Linked DNA regions of Oryctolagus cuniculus. The protein of the gene in region 2 purifies or fractionates together with the protein of the main gene of each other region. This does not show direct contact. Links are inferred from orthologs where the notes say so. Each region holds a gene or a part of one and is shown on either strand. Other genes may lie near its edges.

Evidence for each region.
Region 1: the proteins of KAT6A (region 2) and CSNK2B purify together in Homo sapiens (affinity purification with mass spectrometry; 3 studies listed by BioGRID and IntAct, with this or other methods). This does not show direct contact. The link is inferred for Oryctolagus cuniculus from reciprocal best matches to the Homo sapiens genes KAT6A and CSNK2B.

The regions. Positions count from the first base shown.
Region 1 is NC_091436.1:138,947,537-138,951,441, forward strand, and holds the start of CSNK2B (casein kinase II subunit beta), read right to left. Parts: upstream 2,357-3,905; 5' UTR 2,338-2,356; coding exon 2,266-2,337; intron 1,201-2,265; coding exon 1,098-1,200; intron 538-1,097; coding exon 422-537; intron 15-421; coding exon 1-14. UniProt on the Homo sapiens protein: Regulatory subunit of casein kinase II/CK2.
Region 2 is NC_091433.1:92,275,747-92,279,551, forward strand, and holds part of KAT6A (histone acetyltransferase KAT6A), read right to left. Parts: 5' UTR 3,681-3,805; coding exon 3,081-3,680; intron 1-3,080. UniProt on the Homo sapiens protein: Histone acetyltransferase that acetylates lysine residues in histone H3 and histone H4 (in vitro). Component of the MOZ/MORF complex which has a histone H3 acetyltransferase activity. May act as a transcriptional coactivator for RUNX1 and RUNX2.

The DNA.
Region 1 (3,905 bases), on a different chromosome or scaffold from region 2:
TGGTACTTTTCCAACTGAAGGGAAAAAAATGGAAGGGATTGGTGGGTGGGTATGAGGATAAGCAGCGACCCCCACATAACTCTGTCCTCCACATTTCCTCCCTCTTCTTGGAGGTCCTTGTGCAGATCAAAGGGGCCCACCAACTTTCCCCCCAGTTAGGGAGGCTAATGACATCCAGGGCCATTTGCCGTCTGTTCTCTGAGGAAGAAGCAGTCCACAACTCTGACCAAGCTCACATCGCCCTCCCTGAAGACACCCCCTCAGCAGGACGTCCAGGGAGGACTCAGTTTCCCGGCCCAAACTCTGGGTTTTTCTCATCTCAGCTCGACTCCTTGACAGGGCTGCCAGATTACTGCTCACTGTAGGAACCTGTTTCCCTTACTGCCTCACAAGGAGTCACGCAGGCGCAGAGAGGCCTCACCATCTGGGCGATGCCTCGGTTGGTGAGGATGTAGCGGGCATGGATCAATCCGTAAAGCATCTCGGCCGCCTGCTCAATCAGGTCGCTCTGGTTGGGGTTGTCTTCCAGCTCTTCGTCTGAAATATGGGCCAGCCACATGCAACCACTGGCGTTCCAGCTTTCCCAGGTGCCCCGCCCACCCCCAGGGCTGTTGGCTGCCCAGTTTGCCCAGCACCCATCCTTGAGCTTCACCCAGTCCTCACGTGGGCATTTAACCTGGGTCTCTGCCCCTTCCACCAACCCAAGGAAGCCCAGCCTTCTCTCCACACCTCTTCAGCCTCTGCTCTCTTCTCTCCCTCCCAACTCCTTCCTTAGTACGTAAATACAAAGATGTCAACACAGAAGGTGGAACTCTAGACTGGAGGGTGCAAGGCAGGCAAAGAGGCAGTAAACAAGACCCGCGAGGAAACTCGCATAAGGAGGAGCGCTGAGCTACAAATTCAGAAAGTATGGCAGCAAGTGCTATCAGTCACAAAACTAGGCAAGAATTCAAGGAGGGGGGCAAAAATGCTGCTGGGACTTTGAGGTTAAGGGTGTCAGAGAACCAAAAGGAAGTTTAGAAATTCAAGAGGTAAATTCAAGAGGTAATTTGAAGAGAAAAACAGCCCCCCCACCATGAACCTTGAGGGTGTCTCACCAGGTTCCAGGTCCAAGATCATGTCTAGAGCTTGTCGATAGTGAGGCACCTGCTCATTGAGGCCGGTAAGGTTAAATTTGTCCTGGATGTAGTCTTCATCCACCTGGTAGAACACGGAGGTCAAGAGGAAAACTCCTACTGGGACCCCCAGCTTCTGAGCTGGCCAAGGTCACCTAACGAACGCCTTGTCGGCCACACGGCTGCGTCTGGTCTGCCTGTTTCCTACTCCAACTCAGCGTCAGTACTTCAGCCGCTGTCCCGAGTTCACACGCACGCCCTCCCCCCCGTGAAAGCTCCAGCTTCTCTCCTCCAAGGACAAGCAAGCACAGCAGTCTCCTTAGAGACACACTCGACTCCCGCGTCTCTAGTCCTGTTCCTCATCTCTAGGAACCAGTTCTGTCCTCTCCTGAGGGAACAGCTGCTCTCTGAGGAAGGTGGAGGCTGAACAGCTTGGTTTCTGAAGGTGGTTAGAATTCCTTATGTCAACACAGAGCTTTGCATGTTACAGAACATTTTAAGGTGCAGTATTCCAATTCTCCTAACAGCCCCCAGAGATAAGCACTACCAGTAGCATTCTAGTAATGAAAAAGCAAAGGAGAAAGGACACTTGGCACGGTGGTTCCTACATGGTTAGAGATAACCCACATCCCAAACTGGAATGCTCAGGTTCAAGTCCCAACTCCACTTCCAATTCCAGCTTCTTGCTAACACACACCCTGGAAGGTAGCAGGGTGATGGCACAAGTACTTGAGTCCCTGCCACCCACATGGGAAACCCAGGTAAGTTTTGGGATCTTTACTTCAGCCTGGCTGGTAGCAGTAGCTGTTGTAGAAATTTGGGACATAAACCAGTAGACAGAAGATCCTTCACTTTCTCTGTTGCTCTACCTTCAGATACTTTAAGTACAATAAAAAAATTAAAAAAGAAAAAGAAAAAAAAAAGATGGTCTGACTAGTTCAATGTTATCCTCCTGGGGGTGCGGTGGGGTGTGTGACAGAAATGGGACTTGGGCCCCAGTCTTGCCACATCGCCGCTGATTAGTGGGGGGTTACTGAGGGGACCCCTTCTTTCACGGGAAGGAGTTTCCACGGGATAAAGTGTGCAAAAGCTGAAGATACCCAACCTGAACGCATGGAACCAGCGAGTAGGAAGAACGAAAAGCACTCACTTCACAGAAGAATTCATTGCCACGGAGCCCACAAAACCAGGAAATCCAGGACACTTCCTCCGAGCTGCTCATCTTCACGTCAGCTGGAAACAGGAGTCAAGTCCAAGCTCTCCCTCCCCGGCTCTGGCACCTTCCCTCCTCCCACACTCTGTCTTTCAGCCATGGAAGAATTTGGGGCCACCCTTTTTTTTTTTTTTTTTTTTAAAGGATCCCAGCCTTTGGGACAGGCTTCTCTAGCTCTTGTTATTTACACCTCGGCCCCTTTTCTCTGAATGAACTTAGAAATTCCTTGGCAGGAGCCCACAAGTACCGACCCAGCAGTCCCTACCTACATCCCCCGCGCCCCCGATGGCCAGACCCCTCTCGCCTGTGTCAACTCTGGCAGAGTCCTCGGCTCGGGCTCCCTACCACCGCAGGGCTCCGGCACCCTTCCCCAAGAATTAGAAGTTTATCTTTGCCAAGCAACGACCGACACCTCCTTTTCTCACGACCCGGGGCGAGGGGCGGGCACCGCCAGGTACTCTTTCACGGAGTCCCCACAGCCTGCCTCCCGCTCTCCGGCCACCCTTCCCTCCCACGGTTACGGACCGGGTCACTTCCTTCCTCGCCCCCACCTCAAGGCGGGGAGACCCCATGTGCCGCTCCTAGGGACCGGGAACTCCGCGGGGCAACCACTTCACACTCACCAGCTGGACGGGGAGCGGGACCGGGGTGGGGGAGGGGAACAGCTGCTTCCAAAGAACGACGGCGACCGCTACAGCGAAGGCCGCGGACCCGACCGCGGCAGGCGAAGTCGGGTGGGGGGAGTGGAAATCGGGGAGGGTGGGGAAGAGGGCAACGCGCAAGCGCCGAGGGGCGAGAGCCGCGGTGGACGCTGGGAGATGGAGTCCGCTAGGGCGAGAGACCGGCGAAGCGAGGGAAAAGCGAACTACGAATCCCAGGACAGCTCACTCACGACCCTCGTGTCGCGAGGCCCCCGAGGACGCGGCTCGGGGGCGGGGCACAGCGAGGCGCCACCGGAAGCGGAAGCCAAGTAAGGCGTTCGGGGCCAGGAGCCTGGGAAATAGAGTCGTATGCTCACTGGACTGAGGGGCCAAGAGGGGGCGGGGGAAGAAGCGAGGCGAGTCGGGTCGCAGACGTTGCCCTCGGGGACCCTCAGTGAGCCCTGGCCAACCCTCCTAGTTCTTATCAAGTCGGGCACGGCCTTGCACAGGAGAGCCCCACGTTTTACCCTGAGCTCGGGCCTTCTGAGGTGGGAGGTACGAACGGGCTCCGTGCTGAGGGACCTGGGTCGGGTGTGTCTGTCCTGAGTTGAGCGTTATTGACAACCAGGACGGCCCGGTGCGCTAACCTGAGGCGGCGCCGGCCATCCTGCTGCTCGTCCCCTTGCACTTCTCCATTTCCTCCCAGGGCTTGAATGGGGTCTTCAGCTGAGGGCTCTACGCGTGCCCTTCGAACCTGCTCCGAGTAATGGTGAGGGGGTAGTGTGGCGTTATTTCATTTCACAACTTCTCGGCCTTCCACAGGTTTCCCTCCGTCTCAGGCACTTTCTTAAGCCAGAAGCTGGCTTCCCAGGTTCAGAAAATGAGCTTGGAGTGGGGGCCACGTTGAGGGAGGCGAAGGGCATTGTGGGGGCGTTA
Region 2 (3,805 bases):
AAGCTGGATCCAAATCAGAGTGGTCAGGACTCCAACAAGCATTCTGAGATGGGACGCCAGAGTCGCAAGCCACAACTTCACCTGCCGCACCGCGCTGGCCCCACCTCCATACTGTTCAGTGTGAAAATACACTAGGGAGCAGGCGTTTAGCCTGGCGACTGGTGCCCGCGACCCACATGGGAGCACCTGGATTTGACTCCCAGCTCAGACTTCTCTGACACCAGCTTCCTGCCTGCAGACCAGAGCAGGCAGTGGTGATGGCCCAAGTGGCTGGGTTCCTGCCATGCCCGTGGGAGACCAGAACTGCAGCCGCAGCGTGGCACCAGACACTGTCGGCATTTGGGCAGTAAACCAGCAGATGGCAGGCTGTCTCTCAAATAAATAAAAAATAATGAAGGAAATTTAATGTAAGAACACACTGAAGTTCACTGATATTCTCAAAAATGCCTCTTAAAAATACTTCTGTACAGTTGATCTCCCCAAAAGAACAAAAATAACCTAGCTGCTAAAAATCTAACAGGTTCTACAGGTCCCCCCCGAAAGTTAGTATCACAAGTAAGTAAACAGAATTGATACAGGAAAAAGTAAACAGGCCCCGGCTCCGGCCACTCCACATCACCCACCCTACAGCAGCCAGGTAAGACGGCACTGCAGAGAAAACAAAGCCATCTCAGTCCCAGCACAGTGTGTGGCCCACAGCAGCACTCAGCAACTAGTTGCTGAATTAATTAATGCCTAAAAGTAAAAGTACTTCCTTTCTCCAGCACTGTCAAATAAACTCTGGATTTTGTTTATTTACTTAAGGTTCTCTGTGTTCGTAACAGCAAGCCAAACAATTCTGCAAAGGAACGGGCTGGCTGGTCTGAAGGAAGGGATGGAAAACGGTGGAAACACAATAAAGGCACAGACAGGGCATGCTCATCGGAGGAACAACCCCGCCCCCGGAGTCCACCGCGTCAGGACTGAGTGTGAGCTTTCCACAAGCTTGGCGAGAGTCCCTCGGAAACCTTTCCTCAAAGACCTCACTGAAAAATAAAGAACGGGGGGGGGGGGGGGGGGGGGGCCTCTGGCTCAAGGACCAAGACACGGGTGGACAGATCTGCTCCCTGGCAGTGTCTGGGTCCAAGCCCACCCCCAGCTCCTGACTCCAGCTTCCTCCTGCTGCACACTCTGGCTGTCAAGTAGTTGGGATGCGGCCACCCACGTGGGAAACCTGGACTGAGCTCCAGGCGCCCAGCTTCCACTCCTGCAGCCGCACCCTGCCAAGGCTGGCACCCGAGGAGTAAACAAGCCGAGAAAGCATGCACTCCTGCTCCTGTGAGTACCTCCCTCCCTCCGCCCGCCCTCCCTCCCTCCGCCTCTCAAATAAATACAAAGAACAAATCTCATCAACTCTAACGTTAAGGATGTTATCATAAAATCAGCTTTCCAAAGACAACAGCACCCACAAGCCGTCTACTCAGTGAAACTCAATTTTCCCCAGTGCAAACTCTACACTTAGTTACTTCAGTTAACAATACTATGTATTAAAGCGGGGAAATCAGTCAGGTTTCTCTAACCAAAGTGAACCAGCAGATCTTTACTGAATCGAACTTAAAATACAAAGGTGCCAGCCAGGCAATGGCCTCAGCAAAGGGCGTAGGCTCAGCTGCAAAACCAGGCTCGCTGGACCCCTTGGTTCCCACGCTGCCTTTCAAAAGTCCAACCCCGGGGTGCCGGGGCTTCTCCCTCACTGTACCACACCGACTATCTTTTAAATGGACACCCAACTCACGTTTTTATGTCCGACTAATATTTCAAAAGTTAAAAGATTTAATTCAAGTAAGGGAATTACTAGAAAAGCAAATACCCAAGTGCTCTAACAAGAACTTAACAATATTCAACTCACAGGTACGGCACTATAGTTTCCCGCTTCCAAGCAGTTAGCCTGTGAAATCACTGGGTAACAGGTGTAGGAATCCAGCTGTTACATTTTATTCAGCTTCAGCCACATGACCAGGGAACGGTTCTTAGCAGGTCAGGTTCCCACAGCACGGAACTACAAGACAGAGCATGCTGGCGGCCTGTCCATCAACACTCCTCCATAAACACAGGAGTGCCCCACAACTGCCTGGTGAATGGGACTCTACCCATTCATGACGCTATGAGAAAGACTTTAACAGTCACAACCATAGATAATGCTTCTATTCCAAGTTCACAGGGCGAACCCAACTCCAAAACAGAGCTCCCCAAAGAACTACAACTCAGAGCACTTGAAATAAAATTGACAGCTATTAAGTCAGTGTTGGGAGTGGGGGGAACCGGCTACTGACAAAATTCTCCTCATTCCCAAATTATCTTGTAGCAGCCAAAGTTACCGCAGAGACACCATCCTGTCAGCTGCACAGCGTGCGGGCATGGCACGCACAGCGCTGTAAGGCCTCCCCTCCGTGCACCAGACCCGAGCTCTCCAGAACGTTTGTGAGTCAGGACACTGTGTGGCTGCCCCGTAACTAGAGCTGCCTTCCATAACATGAGGACCTCATCGCACGCAGACGCCAGAACACAAGACAAAATCTGTACGGCAAACAGCTGAAACAAGAACGCCAAGTAGGCTGAGCCACCCCCACGGGGCATTAGATCCTCTCACTCCTAATGCAAACCTGCAACAAGAGGGCAGACACAGAGACAGGCTCTGGGAGTCATCTGCTTGTTTCAAATTCACATCAACTACAGCACCTGGCCACTCAGCAAGGCAGTGCACTGTCTTAGGCAGATCGCCTAAGAATTTTTATGTATAAGTCTTAAAGTCATTTGTCAATTTTTAATTCTAATCTAAACAAGTTCTTCCAGGTAGATCAACATTCTACACCTTGAATCTTAGGCTTCAAATATTTCAGAGTAACGGAACCATCAGCACCTTTATTTAAAGTTCTCACAGCCACAATGATAACCAACCACACATGATCCCTCCACAGAGGTCCCCACACACAAAACCTGGATATGGCTTCCATGTGAGTGTCAACACCCTCTGAACGTGACCTTGTCGCAGGCCTGGATCCCCAGCTGGAGGATCGCTGATGCCTACCAACCGCTCTTACCTTGTCCTTTTCGTGTGGAAGGAGCGACACCGGAGGTAAGCAGGAAAGAGACTCACACGTCTCCTTCCCCTCCGGGCTGCTCGCTTTAGCGCTGAGCCGATACAGAGGTCCATCTTTAAGGAGTCTGCCGTGGCCAACGGCACGCTTGATGGCCAATCGTAACTGCTGGTGAAAGCCAGAGGCAGCGCTGCCTCCAAATAACGCAGACACATCCTTCTGCCCTTTCAAGAAACGTTCAATACTTCTCAAAGTGGAGCCACCAGACTCTGCCAAGCCCTCAAACGCCCTTTTGATCAGTTTATTCCAATCCACATTCTGCTTGCTATCCAACTTTCCATGGTTCCGAGGTTTAGGAAGTGCTATTCGCCCAGGATTATCAGGATCTTTGTAGGAATTGAGGCCTTTATTGGAGACTTTTAAAATCGTTCCATCTTTAACACTGAGCTCCAACTGCTCTAAGACGGTCTTCCGATCCAAGCCGTGGGATGACGAGACCGCGTTGCATATCCTTTCCTCCGACGGACGCTGTTTCTGCTTCTTCACTTTCTTGATGGCCTCCAGAATCCACTCCGTGTACAGCGGGTTAGCGAGCTTTACCATGGTGAAGGGTTCTGTACATCCATAGAGTCGCTATCCCTTATCCTGATGCTGAGTGAGTCCTACGCCATGGGAAACACGACTCTCGGAGGCTGGGAACCAGCTAACCATAGCATACAAGTTTTCTG